Stegostoma tigrinum: one gene and its partner. The protein of the gene in region 1 purifies or fractionates together with the protein of each later gene. This does not show direct contact. Links are inferred from orthologs where the notes say so. Each region holds a gene or a part of one and is shown on either strand. Other genes may lie near its edges.

What was found.
Region 2: the proteins of raraa (region 1) and klf5a purify together in Homo sapiens (affinity purification with western blotting; 4 studies listed by BioGRID). This does not show direct contact. The link is inferred for Stegostoma tigrinum from reciprocal best matches to the Homo sapiens genes RARA and KLF5.

Annotation. Positions count from the first base shown.
Region 1 is NC_081384.1:11,679,839-11,688,010, reverse strand, and holds the start of raraa (retinoic acid receptor alpha-A), read left to right. Parts: upstream 1-5,121; 5' UTR 5,122-5,229; intron 5,230-8,172. UniProt on the Homo sapiens protein: Receptor for retinoic acid. Retinoic acid receptors bind as heterodimers to their target response elements in response to their ligands, all-trans or 9-cis retinoic acid, and regulate gene expression in various biological processes.
Region 2 is NC_081359.1:25,686,494-25,694,798, forward strand, and holds the start of klf5a (Krueppel-like factor 5), read left to right. Parts: upstream 1-5,179; 5' UTR 5,180-5,372; coding exon 5,373-5,531; intron 5,532-6,314; exon of another isoform or gene 6,315-6,399; coding exon of another isoform or gene 6,400-6,423; intron 6,424-8,305. UniProt on the Homo sapiens protein: Transcription factor that binds to GC box promoter elements. Activates the transcription of these genes.

The DNA of each region.
Region 1 (8,172 bases):
ATTGTTTTTATATTTTTACATTTAATTTTTTACACCTATGTTAAACTCTGGAATTCCCTTTCTGAACCTCTCCTGCCTTTCCCTTGTTCTGTCCACTTTAAAAACTAAGTTTGAAAACCTAAATTTTTGATTGAGCCCCTTTACATGGTTTGGTGTCTAATTTTGTTTGAAAACACTCCTGTGAAGTGCCCTGAAAAACCTTGCCATTACCAGGCACTACACAAATGCATGCTGTTGTCAACCTGTTTGTATGGAAAATATTCTGCTTCTTATCCAATTTGCTTTTATCTGGCAGTCACCATGACAACGTGTTTGAGAAGTGACTAAACTCTTCAAACGTGTCAGGAGATGAGAGAGACAGGACAGTACTGGGTCTCCACTATGGGTGGTGTGTTTGTAATCACACAGTGCCTCTAGGCTATTTTAAATTAATCCAGTGTGTGGCAAGACTTCAGAGAAATAAATTTGGTTATATGCAAGTTGGTTGAACACTAATTAACTCATCTTATTTACACGTTAAAAGGAATGAACACAGGATAGCACACTCAAAGAAATCCCTTAATGCTGCCAAGTTCCCCTCTGCATTTTCTCACTTCTTCTGCTCTAGGGAGGACATCTATAGTTCCCATCACTGAAAGGGAATCCTTTTTTTAACATTCTTTTGTAAAATCTGTCCTCTTCACCAACCTTGCCCCTTTTTTAAATTAAGGAAAGGGAATTCTTGACTTTTATGGTTGTATTAACTGAACACTCTATGAGCTAAAAAGATGAAGGAAAATTTCTGCAGGAATTATATTATATGAACACTTTTCAACACTGGCTTGAAATTTTTTTTATCTGTGGAATTTTTATGAAAAATCCACAAGTACTTTGAGACATTATTGTACATAGTAGTGATTTGTATTTAACTGAACACGACTACAGAAACCTTTCTGTATGGGATAGTGCAGTTTTCGCTATAATAGAAGGCAGCCATTAATCTTGGGTTTGAGAATGGAATTCTGAAACTTCAAATAAAGGTCAAGCTGCCAATCACCAAATGTAACTGTCTTCTTAAAAAAAACTTTGATATTAAATTTATATATTTTTTTCCTCTTAGGGTGTGATGGCTAACAGCAACAGGGGCTTTCCTGTGACTTGAACTGAACTGTTACCTATCACAGGATGAGATGGTCCTTGCTTATGAGATGTATTCTGTTGTAAATTGCAGCTCTGGCATGCATGAGGACCTAGTTCTGTTGACAGTGTGTGTAGGCCCTAGGAACTTCCACTGGAGGAGGTGAGTTCTAGGGCCCTGCAGTGAAGAAGTGGATGATCCAACTGGCATTAGGAGTCACCTGCATGGGCAGACAGGTGGGCAGGCACTAGGAATTAACAGCTATAACATTGTCAGTCAATAGAACCCAGACAAGCTGACCCCAGGAGGGGTAGGCTAGCTCTTGCACCAATCCGTGTTGCTTAAATGGCCGGGGTCTAGGACCATGCTGCACTAAGACAGGGTTGCTAGTCCTACTGAAACCAGGAGGGCAGGTGTACACTAGTACCCATTCACGCTGACAATAGACTGACGAGAACCTTGCAGTGCTGGCCCTGGGAGGTGCAAAGACAGGCAGGCACTAGAACCCAGCTGTACGGCTCTGGCAAGAACTGGCACTACTATGTTTTAGTGCCAGCCCAACTGCTCTCCAGGGGGACAGATACTAGGATCCAGTAGAGCCCACTCGAACTGGCTGGAACAATGAGCACTAGAACCTGGCAGTGCAGACCCCAGCAGGTAGTCAGGAGAATGGGCACTGGGACCCAGCACTTCTCGCTCCAGAAAGCATATGGTAGGAGAGCCCAAGGACCCAAGTGTTGATTTTTGCTTGTACTGGAAGACCGCCATTCACTTGTACCTGACAATGCCAGCTTTGGTAGGTGGATGGTGGGTATTAGGACCCAGTGCTATGGCCTCTGACAGGCATTACGACCCAGCAGAGTCAGATTTGGTAAGAAGGTGGTGGGCACTAGGCCCCAGTGGTGCCAGTTCTGGCAGGCAGTATAACTTGGTGATAATGGGGTGCAGAGCTGGATGAACACAGCAGGCCAAGCAGCTTCAGAGGAGCAGGAAAGCTGTCATTTTGGGTCTCGACCATTCTCCAGAAATGGGGGAGGGGAAGGAGATCCTAAAATAAATAGGGACAGAGGGGGAGGAAGATCAAAGATGGATAGAGAAGATAGGTGGAGAGGAGACAGACAAGTTAAAGGGGCAGGGATGGAGCCAGGAGAGGTGAGTGTAGGCAGGGAGGGGATAGGTCAGTCCAGGGAGGATGGACAGGTCAAGCAGGCGGGATGAGGTTAGTAGGTAGGAGATGGGAGTGGGAGGAGGGGACAGTTGGGAGGAAGAACAGGTTAGGGAGGCGGGGATGAGCTGGGCCGCTTTTGGGATGCGGTAGGGGGAGGGGAGATTTTGAAGCTTATGAAGTCCACCTTGATACCATTGGGTTGCAGTGTTCCCAAGAGGATTATGAGTTGCTGTTCCTGCAACCTTTGGGTGGCATCAATGTGGCACTGCAGGAGGCCCAGGATGGACATTGTCTGAGGAATGGGAGGGGGAGTTGAAATGGTTTGTGACTGGGAGGTGCAGTTGTTTATGGCGAACCAAGCGTAGGTGTTCTGCAAAGTGGTCCCCAAGCCTCCGCTTGGTGTTCCCCGATTATAGAGGAGGCCACAACGATGCAGTATATCACAATGGCAGATGTGCAGGTGAACATCTGCTTGATGTGGAAAGTCTTCTTGGGGCCTTGGATGGGGGTGAGGGGGGAGGTGTAGGGGTAGGTGTAGCTCTTCCTGCGGTTGCAGGGAAAAGTGATGAGTGTGGTGGATGGGAGGGGAGTGTGGAGTGGACAAGGGAGTCACAGAGAGAGTGGTCCCTTCAGAAGGCAGATAAAGCTGGAGAGAGAAAAATGTCTTTGGTGGGGTCAGATTGCAGATTGCAGATGGCAGAAGTGTTGGATGATGATGTGTTGGATCCAGAGGTTGGTGGGGTGGTATGTGAGGATGAGGCAGATTCTGTTTTGGTTGTTATTGCGGGGAGGGGATGTAAGGGATGAGATGCAGGAGATACTGTTGAGGGCGTTCTTGCCCACTGAGGGCAGAGGGAAGTTGCCGTCCTTGAAAAATGAGGACATCTGACATGTACGGGAGTGGAATGCTTCATTGTGGGAGCAGTTGTGATGGAGGTTAAGGAATTGGGAATAGGGGATGGCGTTTTTGCCGGAAGGTGGGTGGGAGGTGGTGTATTCTAGGTAGCTGTGGTGGGCTTGAATGGATATTGGTTTCTAGGTGGTTGCCAGAGATGGAGACAGAGGAGACCAGGAAGGAGAGAGAGGTTTTGGAGATGTTCCAGGTGAACTTAAGGTTGGGGAGGAAGGTTTTGGTGAAGTGGATGAACTGTTTGAGCTCCTCCATAGGAGCACAAGGCAGTGCTGATACAGTCATTGATGTAATGGAGGAAGAGGTGGGATTTAGGGCCAGTGTAGGCATGGAAGAGGGACTGTTCTACGTAACCTACAAAGAGGCAGGTGTAGCTTGAGGCCATGGGGGTATCCATTGCTACCTCCTTTGTTTGTAGGAAGTGGGAGGATTGAAAGAAAAGTTGTTGAGGGTGAGGATCAGTTCCGCTGGGCAGATGAGGGTGTCAGTGGAGGGGGACTGGTCGGGCCTGCAGGACAGGAAGAAGGGGAGGGCCCTCAGACCATTTGCATAAGGAATGCAGGTGTACAGGGACTGGACACCCATACTGAAACAGGTGTTTGGGGACTGGGGAATTGGAAGTTCTGGAGGAGGTGGAGCCCGGGTGGTGTCACGGACGTAGGTAGCGGGTTCCTGAACCAAGGGGTAGAAAATGGAGTTGAGATAGGTGGAGATGAGTTCAGTGGGGCAGGAGCAGGCCGAGATAATGGGTTGACCAGGCTAGTAGGCTTTGTGGATTTTGGAAAGGAGATAGAAGAGAGGGGTGCAGTGTTAGGGAATGATGAGGTTGGATGCTGTGGGTGTAGGTCACCTGAGGTGATGAGGTTGTGGATGGTTTGGGAGATGATGGTTTGGTGGTTGGGGGTGGGGGCATGATCAAGGCGGGGTTAGGAGGAGGTGTCGGAGAGTTGTTGCCTGGCCTCAGTGATGGGGAGGTCAGTGTGCCATACTACAACTGCGCCTCCCTTGTCCGCGCATTTTATGATGAGGTTGGGATTGGAGTGGAGGGCTGCAGTTTCTGTGGGGGAGAGATTGAGGCGATTGATGACTTGGCAGCAGTTGGAGATGAAGAGGTCAAGGGAAGGTAGGAGGCCTTGGGGTGGTGTCCAGGAGGAGAGGGTGTGTTGGAGGTGGGAGAAGGGGTCAGTAGATGGAGGGTTAGGCTCACAGTTAAAGAAGTAAATATGGTGGCAGAGGCTCCCTATCTCCTCCCTGCCTAATTCACCTACATTCATGGCTCTATCCTGGCCTCTTTGACCTGTCTGTCTCCTCTTCCCCCTACCTTCTCCTCTATCTGCCTTCTATCTGCTACCCCATCTCTCCCTATTTATTGCAGAACCCTCTCCCCATCCCCCATTTCTGAAGAAGGGTCAAGGCCTGAAACGTCAGCCTTCCTGCTCCTAAGATGCTGCTTGGCCTGCTGCTTCTATCTAGCTCTGCACCCTGTTATCTCAGACAGTCCAGTATCTGCATTTCCTGCTTTCTCAGACTCAGTGGTATCTGCTCAGGTGCGCACGAGAACCAGTGATGTCAGCTCTGCCAGGCACTAGGACCCACTTGTGCCAGCTGTGGTGTGTGGGCTGGGGTGCACTAGCACCCCCTGGTACCAGCTCTGGTGGGTGGGCAGGCAGGAAAGCATTGGGTACTAGGACCCACTTGTGCCAGTTCTTGTGTGGGCTGGTGGGCACTAGGATCCAGTGGTGTCACCTTGAGCAGGAGGAGGGCATTGGGCCCTAGGACCCAGTGGTGCCAGCTTGGGCAGGAGGAGGGGGTAGGGCACTAGGACCCAGTGGTGCCAGCTTGGGTGGGCAGGAGGCGTGGGTAGGGCACTAGGACCCAGCGGTGCCAGCTCTGACAGGCAGGAGGAGGGGGTAGGGCACTAGGACCCAGCGGTGCCAGCTCCGGCCGGCGGGCGGGCGGTCGGTCCCGGGTTGTCCTGGAGCGTCTCTGAGGAGCCGCCGGATCTGAGTCGCAGGCGCCTGCCGGCTGCAGACAGTGAGTTTTTACAGACCCCCTCGGGCTCGCAGACAGGCACGGAGCAGGGGGATTCGGGGGGCGGTATCTGGTTCGGTGCCGGGTTGGGGACCGAGGCTGCCGGCGTTACCCTCTCAACTTTCCCGTGAGCGGGGCTTCCTCGGGCCGGGCAGCCCAGCCGGCACTCACCGAGAGGCGGGGAAGAGGCAAATCGAGAGGCGGGGCTGCAGGATGTCCCAGGCGGGGCCTAGGAGTAGCCAGGGAGAAATTTAAATCCTGCCTGTGAAACTTTATCAAAGGTAGCAGCAGCTCCCCAGAAACTGTCCCAGTGGGTCTGGAAGAGGATGGTCTCTTCCTTTTAAAAGTTTATCTGGTTTATCAGCAATTAGCTCTGGTTTTGAATTTCCCAGTGGATTTTAGCTGCAAAAATGTTTGTTTTCGCAGTCATCTTGTGGAAAATATTTATAGTTTGAGGCAAAAACCAGGCATCTCACCCACGGGGTAGTTTTACTTTACTTGTCAGTTTCTTTTGAAGTGAGTTGTTGCAAAGAATGTTTTCTGTGCTTTCTTCTGAAGTATTTGCATGGTTAATTGTGAATGTCTGTGCATTTCCACTATTTTGCATCTGTTTTCTTCTCCCCTCTTTTAAGATCTGTTCTCTGAATCTGAAGGTTTTAGGCCCAATATCCCACCCCAGGATTTCAGTGAAATATAGGCTGACACTCCCAGTGCAGTGCTGACGGAGTGTTGCATTGTCACCGATGCCATCGTTCACATCACAATATTAAACCAAGACCCTGTTGGCCCCTTCAGTTAGGTTTTAAACAGTTTCCCTGGTGTCCTAGGATGGTCAGTAACTATTCTTTGATCATCATCAATTAAAAAAATGATCTAGCCACAATAGGAATGCTGTTTGTGGGATCTTGCAATGCACAAATTGGCTGCCACTTTTCCTGCATTTTGCCAGTGACTGCAATGAAAAAATTTTTTCTGGATATCTTGTCCTGCAGATTTCATGCTGGTTACCACTGCTGCCGCACAGCTCCAGGGACCTGGGTTTGGTTCCACCCTCGGGCTGCATTGAGTTTGCACATTCTCCCTGTGTCTGCGTGGATTTCCACCAGGTGCTCTGGTTTCCTCGCACAGTCCAAAGATGTACAGGCTAGGTGGATTGGCCGTGCTAAATTTCCCGTAGTGTTCAGGGATGTGTAGATTAGGTGGTTTATAGGGGGATGGGTCTGGGTGGGATGTTCTGAGGGTCGATATGGACTCGCCGGGCCAAAAGGCCTGTTTCCACACTGTAGGGATTCTATGATCCTATGAAAAGGTGAAACTGTAGTGTCCACCTCAAGTCAACTCGCTTAGCATTGAGACATGTAGTACTCAAAATCAGCTCCACCAGACAGGATCTATTGTTTGTGTACCTGACACCGGACACCTGAAGCAACTGCCCCATTTCAACTCGGTCATGACAGAAAGGCCACAAGAGAAGGCAGTGAATACATTGAGAGATTTCATTGGGAACATACGGAGTCAAAGTCCATGTTTCAGAGGATGCACACAAATCTTGAAACAAGTCATCTATCTGACTGTTCAAACACTATTTACCCCACCTATGCCAGGATCTGCAGATGGCATTTTGAATTTGTCAGAAATCTCTGATCCCATCCAACCAGAATGGACATGTGTCATCCTGAGAAACTGCCCGTGAAGAGATGAATTCTGAAGTAACCTGTGTTTGCTTCCCCTGAAGGTAGTCAGCACTTTACTGTGATCTGGCTCCACCGATGCCAGTCACTGCCTGATGCCTTGTTGAAGTTGTTTTTAATCCATGTTTTGGGCAGTGAGAGTTAGTACGTTACTGGCATCTGGATTGTCACTGTGTTTTCACCTGATGTCAAAGGCACGCTGTCCCAACATGGGCTCACTAGTTAACAAACAAGCAAAAACCTTAGATGGTAATATTCACCAGCCAGTTTATTTACTTGCTGTGTAAAAATTGGATCACACAACCAAAACTTGCAGGTTTCTTCACTGGCTCCTGCTGAAACAGGATGAGTGCGAGTTATCATAGTCGACCTCAACCCCTTGATTGAGGGCTGGGAAGAGTTTGAAGTCTGTCCTGCCTTGTGATGGAAGTAGGTTGGGTGCTCAGTGAGGTCTGGTTTATATTGAGTGCGATGCCTTCTGTGTTCAAAAAGTTGGTCAGGGATCAGTGTTTTGTGCTGGCATGTTGAATGGCCATTCAGTTGAGGCATCAGATGCTATTGGTATTCATGCACTTCTGACTTCCAAAGGTTAGTACCTTTCAGAACGGATCAGGATTGGAAAAATTTCTAAACGCATACTATGAACCTAATTTAGATAAGTAACATCATTGATATCCTTGAGTGATTTCAAGTTTCTGAACTCATTGTCTAGTTGGGATAATTTATTTTAAACTGCAGAACATTGTTGCATTTTCCAACATCATCTGAGTCCCACTGAGTTTAATATTTTGTGATCAGCATAGCATCTCTATGATTCTCTGCTTGTACTACACTGGTGATAGAATTTCTCAGGAGATGAAGTTATGTTTGCATTGTCAGTTAGTAGCAATGACATTTACTGTTGTCATGAGCATCATTGGACATCCTTGTGTAACATGCGTTTGGACGCATACAGAAGCATAATTAGCAGAAAAAAGCTAAACTTGAAGTTGTAAGTATTTTTATATCGGAAGCACTTGTGTTTAAAGATCTTTCCAGTAATTTGGTTAACATTTCTCCTTTCAAATTACTATCTTGTATCTTATGTGATAGAATAATTGTTGCACTTTATTTAAAAAAAAGTTCTGTTACAATACAATATTTTTGATGCATAAAGCTTATTGCATTTATTTTATGTGTTCTATTTTTATGTTCTAAGGTCTGAAATAGGACTATGCTTTTATAAAGGCACACAACTTTTTATTCATTTTGGTTT
Region 2 (8,305 bases), on another chromosome or scaffold:
ATGTTGTGCAATAAGGCAGACTTGATAAGGGGGCTTATGGTAAAGGAACCTTTATGAGGCAGTGATCATAAAATGATAGAATTTAGTCTGCAATATGAGAAGGAGAAGATGGAATCAGAGGTAATGGTATTACAGCTGAATAAATGCAAATACAGAGATATGAGGTAGGACCTAGGCAGAATTGGCTGGAAGAGAAGCCTAGCAGGAAAGACAGTAGAACAGCAATGGCAGGAGTTTCTGGGAGTAATTCAGGATACACAGCAAAAAATCATCCCTAGGAAAAAGAAGCATGGTAGAGGGAAGATGAGGCAACCATGGCTGACTAAGGTAGTCAGGAATAGCATAAAAGCAAAATAGAAAGCATATAATGTGGTGAAGGGCAGTGGGAAACTAGAGAACTGGGAAGCTTACAAAGACTAACAGAGGGCAACAAAGAAAGAAATAAGGAGGGAGAAGATTAAATATGAGGGTAAGCTAGTGAGTAATATAAATGATGACTGTAAGAGTTTGTTTAGATATATAAAGGGCAAAAGAGAGGCAAAAGTGGACATTAGACCACTGGAAAATGATGGTGGAGAGATAGTAATGGGGAACAAGGAAATAGCTGAGGAACTGAATAATTACTTGAATCAGTCTTCACGGTGGAAGACATGAGTACTCTCCCAAAAATTCAATAGAGTCAGGGGTCAGAACTGAGTATGGTGGACATCACCATGGAAAAGGTGCTGGTAAAACTGATTGGCCTTAAGCTGGATAAACCACCTAGACCAAATGGACTACACCCCAGATTTCCAAAGGAGATAGCCGAAGAGACAGTGGAAGCGTTAGTGGTGGTCTTTCAGGAATCTCTCGAGTCAGGAAGTGTCCCAGAGGACTGGAAAATTGCTATGTGCCATCCCTGTTTAAAAAGGGTGTGAGACAAAACATGGAGAATTACAGGCCAATTAGCCTAACGTCAGTCATGGATAAGATTTTGGAGTCCATTGTAAAGGATGCGATTTCTGAATATTTGAAGGTCTGTGGTGAAGTATGGCAAAGTCAGCATGGTTTACTTAAGGGGAGGTCGTGCCTGACAAATCTGTTAGAATTCTTTGAGCAAATAATGAGCAGGGTAGACCAAGGAGAGCTAATGGATGTTATTTACCTTGACTTCAGGAAGACCTTTGACAAGGTGCAGCACAGGAGGCTGCTGAGTAAGGTAAGGGCCCATGGTGTTAGAGGCAAGGTGCTAGCATGGATAGAAGATTGGCTGTCTGGCAGAAAGCAAGGTAATGGAATAAAAGGGTCTTTCTCAGGATGGCAGCCGGTGACAAGTGGTGTTCTGCAAGGGTCATTGTTGGGACCACAACATTTCACTTTATACATTCATGATGTAGATGAAAGAACTGTGGGCATTCCGGCTAATTTTGCAGATGAAACAAAGATAGGTGGAAGGACAGGTAGTATTGAGGAGGTGGGGAGGCTGCAGATGGATTTGGACAGGTTAGGAGAAGAAGTGGCAGATGGAGTACAACATGGGAAAGTTGAGGTTATGCAGTTTGGTAAGAAGAGTAAAAGCATGGACTATTTTTTAAATGGGGAGAAAATTCAGAAGTCTGAAGTGCAAAGAGACTTGCGAGTGTTAGTCCAAGATTCTCCCAAGGTAAACTTGCAGGATGAGTCAGTAGTCAGAAGGCAAATGCAATGTTGGCATTTATTTTGAGAGGATTTGAATATAAAATCAGGGATATACTACTGAGGCGTTACAAGCTGTGGTTCGGCCACATTTGGAGTATTGTGCGCAGTTTTGGGCCCCAAATCTCAGGAAGGATGGACTGGCCATGGAGCGCGTTCAGAGGGGATTCATGAGAATGGTCCCAAGAATGGAAAGCTTAACATATGAGGATTGTTTCAGAACTCTGGGACTCATTTGAGTTTAGAAAGATGAGGGGGGATCTAGAAACTTACAGGATACTGAATGGCTTGGACAGAGTGGATATTGGGAAAATGCTTTCATTAGTAGGAGAGACTAGGACCTGAGCGCACAGCCTCAGAGTATAGCGAAGATCTTTTAGAATGGAGATAAGGAGAAACTTATTCAGCCAGAGAGTATGAATCTATAGAATTCACTGCCACACAAGGCTGAAGGCCAGGTCATTGAGTATATTTAAGACTGAGATAGATAGGTTCTTGATTATCAAGGGGATCAAAGGTTATGGGGAGAAAGCAGGAGAATGAGGTTAAGAAACTTATCAGTCTTGGTGCAGCAGACTTGAGGGCTGAATGGCCTAATTTCCGCTCCTATGTCTGAAGGTCTAACCACCTGCAAGTTTTCTTCCAAGTCATTCATAATTCTGACTTGAAAATATGTCGCTGTTTCTTCAGTGTTGACAAGCTTAAATCCCAGAACTGCCTTCCTAATGGCATTGTGGATGTACTTCCACCAAATAGATTGTAATGGTTCAAACAGGTAGCTGACCACCACCTTCTCAAGGGAAACTAGGTATGGACAATAAGTATTGGTTCAGCCAAAGTTGACAATATCTCATGACTGAGTAAAAGAAACTGAGCTATTAAATTGCCCATTATTTATATAACGAAAGCCTTTTTATTCTTTCGGCCAGTCAATACTTTTTAAGATGATAATTACATATTTTATTACATTGTACTTCATTTGCCACATCTTTGCTCACTCAGTCATAAATCTTTTTGTTAGCTTTCTTGCATCCTCTACACAACTTACATTTCTACCTATTTTTACGCTGTCAGCCAATTTGGAAATAGTACCTTCTGTCCCTCCAACTCATTCATTAATATAAATTGTAAAATGTTCAGGCCACAACACTAATTCCTGTTTTCCTCTATTCCTTTTTGAAAAAAAACATTTATCGTGAGTGGCCGCTTTAAGTCAGCTGGCCAGTCTTCCATCTAAAGCTAATTTATTCCCTGCAAAACCATCAGCTTTGTCTTTTGCAATAACCTTTGATGTGGCACCTTATCAAATCCCTTCCTAAAATCTAGTACAGTACATTCACTGGTTCCTTTTTGTCCATAGCATGTGTTACCTCTTCAAAGAAGTCCAATCCATTGGTCAAACATGATTTTCCATTCCCAGAACCATATTGTGTGATAAACTTGAACTTTTCAAATTCCCTGTGATAACTTTTTTAACAATAGCTTTTAACATCTTTTCCATTACATATGTTGAGCCTGTATTTTCTTGCTTTCTACCTTGGTCCCTTTTTGAATAATGGGCTTAAATTCACTGCCGTCCAATCTCACGAGAGTGTCACCAACTAGAGGGACCTTTGGAAAATCAAAACAATTACATCAACTATCTCACTTGTTATTTCTTTTTGAAAGCTAGGATGAAGTGTAGCAGTACTCATGACCATGTCAGACCACAGTTCCACCAATTTACTCAGTACTACTTTGATGGTGATGTGATTTTCTTCCTCCTTTCAATTTCCTGATTTATTCCTACTTCTGCGATTTTACTTGTAACTTCCATCATAAGGACTGATGCAAAGTACTTGTTCATTTGTCATTTGTTTATTTTCCATTAATTCCCTTGTGTCATTGTTTGTAGGACCAACACCAGTTTTTTTTTCATCGGTAAGTATTTACAGAAACTCTGTCTGATTTTTATTTCTGGCTTGCACTGTAATCACTCCTTCGCTACTACTTTTGTAGACATTGTTTGCTTTCTTTCTGTTCCATCCCAAATTCTGACCTCCAACCCATCTTTGCATACTTGTATGCCAGTTCTCTTAGTTTGTAACTATCTTTACAATTTCTAGTATACCACAAGTGGTCCATCCCTTGGAATAATTCTTAATCGTTGGAATGTATCTGTTTTGTTCCTGAGTCCACTTGCAAGTTGATTGTATGCAAATCGGAACACAATGCATGGCACTATAAAGCAGCCACTTGTAAGTACTGGAAATGTTTGTAAGCCTGATATTTAAAATTACAGTCCTGTTTGGGGTTCACATTGGTAAGCATGAGAGTTTGTAATTCTGATGTTCAAAAGTTGGGGACTTCCTATACTGTGTGAATTCTGAAATATCACTTAAAATATCTGCTACAGTACTTTTAAATTCCTGAAACAGACCAACACATTTCACAGGAGTACTAGCAAACATAATTTTATTTGGGATACAAGGAGATATCATGACGGCAGAGAGGCAGGTTTGACCAGTTAATGTAGGACAGAAAACAAGAGAGATAAATAGGAAAGATTTGCAGAGATCAGCGCGTAGGCACGACTGCCAATGGCAAATCAGTTGGGATCAGGGGTGCCTAAGATGTTGGTTGGAGGGGAGCAGAGATCTTTCAGAGTTGAAGAGCTGGAGATTGTTCTAGACACAAGGAGGGAATGAGATCACGAACGGCGTGTCAGTCATGTGGAAAAACATCAAAATTGAGACATTGTTGGAATGGGGGTCATGTAGGCCAATGAGCACTGGAGAAAAATTAAAACTTCCAGTGGTTTATCAACACAAGTTGTTCTACCCTTGAAAGCAAATCCAGCATCTATTCATGCACAGTAGAACGTCTAAAGTGAATTCTGCGACACCATCCCACCCCCGCTCCCCACGCATTTGAACTGCGGTGGCACCTGACCACTAACGTTGGCCTGATTCAGTACAAGATGTATTCATTACAATTACTCGGAGCAGATTTAAATTATGGTACTCATAAACTCCGTGGTGTCCATCTGTTCCTACATTCTTGGAAACCCTACGGCAGATTTGTGTTTTTTTTTCATCCGGTTACGAGTCTAATCGAAACAGTGAGAAACTTTGACGGCACTCCAAAAGTGCACTTCCACTTAAAAATTGGGAAGGATTACTTCAATCGCTCTGAATCCCAATAACAGGTTCGGATGTTTGAAACCAAAGCGGTAGTTTTTTTGGGGGGGGAAACACAGTTTCTGGGGCAAGCGGGACTTAAACCCGAGTCACCTAGCCTAGAGGGAGGGATATTACCGCTGTACCAGCGCAGCCTTGAAACATCTAAGTAAACGTTACCTCAGCACATACCTGGTGAGTGAGCGTGTAACCTGATGCTTCCAGGAGAGCCCGCCTCCCCATCCACTGGTGGGGGCTGATTGGTGAGTGCGCCCATCGCTCGGATGGGGATCTGGATCCTGATTGGTGGTTTGTGCTGTCGGTCACGGTTGTGGCCGGAGTTTGGCGGGTGTGGGGGAGAGGAGGGTTGGATGCCCGGGTGTCCCGGGGTGGAAGTGGCAGGAATGTTTGGAGAGTCGGCAGTCAGTGGGTGCGAGTGAAAACTGCGGGATCCCGGGCGGCAGGCAGAGTGTTTGCGGCGGATGCGGATCTTATACTCACCACACGCAGAAACGCACTCCCTGTGACCGTGTGGAGCAAATGGCCTGCGGTGCAGTGAGGGGCAGTTTGGGCGGGGGCAGCTCGGACGAGCCTGTCTTCACCCAACTCAAACCGGTAGGTCTTCAGGCGGAGGAGGCGATGTTCGACGGCATGAAGAGTCCAGCGGCGAGGATGCTGGCGACGGACGACTTAGCCCAGGTATGTCCCTCTAAGAACCCCACTCTCCTCACTGCAACCGGAGCAAAACTGTTCCCTTCAGTCCTTGAAAACACGAAAGGTCGTTGAAATAAGTATGCAAACTTAAATAAACCCCTTTACAAAATGTTATCTCCCCACTCACCCCATCTCTGTAACACTTCAATGAGTTTCCTGAATACATAGAACATAGAGTAATCGTATTTCTTTTCCACATTGTATCGGCGTCGGAAGGCTTTTTTTCTTGCTTCTGATTTGCAACTATTTTCTTTCACGACCCCAACTTGTATTTAACAGTTACCCCCCCCCCCCCCTTTCTTGGAGGATTAAACGCCGCACGTTTGCGAGGAAGAGTGCCCTCTCTCCCTCCCGCCTGTTTTAACTTTTTTTTAAAAATAACGTTCATTGGAGATTGGGATCCGCAAGTGCTGCTTATTGTGAATGGGAGCGATGATAAGGAAATGTGTGTAAACACTGCGAGGGTGAATGGGTAGCAGCTAAAAGTTGTTGCTGTTGTGATCCCGGAGTCGCGCTGTTGACATTAGACTTTAGATCAAAAACCGAATTCTTGTAGGAAAAATGAAACTGAGAAGTTTTATTGCCGCTTCTCCATATTGACCGTTCTCGGATTTGAAGGCGTTGGTTTTAGGTTCACTTGTTTTGTTCACGTGAATTATATAGAATTTGTTCGTAATACATATTTTAATGTATATTGATATGAAGAAACAATACATTTCGACCAGCAATTCCACGATTACACTTCCACTTCCTCCCAGTTACAGGTGGGAGTGGCTCTATAACCTGGTAGTGCTGGAATGGCTAAAGTGTGTGTTGAGGGCGGCGTGCACTCAATCTTCCCCCGTACTCGACAATGCGCAGTATGCACCAGGCGTGGGTGAGGATGTGCTGTATTTTTATTTTTAATTTAGGTTTTTTTTGGTCAGTGGGTGAGGGCCGCAGCTGGTTTAGCACTTGCTATGTCGCGTTCAAGCATCTGACTTTTTCCTCGCCTACAGAGCAAGTCATTGAGACTAGAAAAAACTTCCCAGCACTTTGAAATTCTCCCTGAGCCACTGCACCGAAAATATGCCAACGACAGCTGGAAGATCTATAATCGGAAAACTTTGAACGTGTGGCCAGTCCCAAACTTTGCAACTTCTTTTTCAGGAGTTGGTGGGATCTGAATTTGCTGCATAGTTGTTCTCTCTGAATAATTGATCAGATTTTCCGCCAGTCAGCTGATTATTATTAGCGGGAGGGGTAGGGGGAGGGAATGCTCAAATATTTGGCATTATCGTGGAGTTTTTACAGATGAAAGGGGAATGTAGCATTTGTATCTTCAACAGCAGTGAGCATGATGAATATTTCCCTGATGACTCTGAGCATTCACCACCCCCAGGCTGTAGTGATATGTGTCTAACTATTACCCAAAGGTGTTTTCTATTTAAATCATTTTGATCTGTTTTGGAAACTATTTGAGCAACTATTTTGCAGTTAAGCTGCAACTTTTTTTCTACCTCACAAGGAACGTGTGGCATTATTTCACCTTTGCACATTAAAGTTTTGGTTGTATTTTAATGGAATGTTTTTAAACTTAATCTGCCTAGTGTAGATAAGTGTGCAATTGCATTTTAAATGGTAACTAACATCATAATCCTCAAATCATTCCTTCACTATTTATGTCAATGGTTATTGTAAGTGTGAAACAAGTAGATATATTGCAAAAAAATCTTTTTTAAGCCATCCTCATTTTCAAGTTTGTGTAGTTCAGAAAAGCAAAGAAAATAAGTGAAAGAACAAGATGCAGCTGGATTAGGTTGATGTTATGAGAGTGCAGTGAAATGTTTCTGGTATGTTGGAGATGACTGCTAATTCTTGGTGCCAGTTTCAGATGACTCTGTACAATCCTTTTCTAAACAAATGAAATGGCTAGATTTTCAAGCAATCAAAAGTTCATGTGCATGGTAGACAAACCCCTGTTTAAACCCGTATACACAAATCCCTCACCTTCCAGGACCCCTCAATCTCCATCTCAGGCAACCAGCTTGTAACTGATGTCCATTTCAAGCCCACCGACTCCCACAGCTACCTAGAATACACCTCCTCCCACCCACCCTCCTGCAAAAATTCCATCCCCTATTCCCAATTCCTCCGCCTCCGCTGCATCTGCTCCCACGATGAGGCATTCCACTCCCGCACATCCCAGATGTCCAAGTTCTTCAAGGACTGCAATTTTCCCCCCACAGTGGTCGAGAACGCCCTTGACCGCGTCTCCCGCAATTCCTGCAACACATCCCTCACACCCCGCCCCCGCCACAACCGCCCTAAGAGGATCCCCCTCATTCTCACACACCACCCCACCAACCTCCGGATACAATGCATCATACTCCGACACTTCCGCCATCTACAATCCGACCCCACCACCCAAGACATTTTTCCATCCCCACCCTTGTCTGCTTTCCGGAATAGACCACTCTCTCAGTGACTCCCTTGTTCGCTCCACACTGCCCTCCAACTCCACCACACCCGGCACCTTCCCCTGCAACCGCAGGAAATGCTACACTTACCCCCACACCTCCTCCCTCACCCCTATCCCAGGCCCCAAGATCACTTTTTCCATATCAAGCAGAGGTTCACCTGCACATCTGCCAATGTGGTATACTGCATCCATTGTACCCGGTGTGGCTACCTCTACATTGGGGAAACCAAGCGGAGGCTTGGGGACTGCTTTGCAGAACACCTCCGCTCGGTTCGCAATAAACAACTGCACCTCCCAG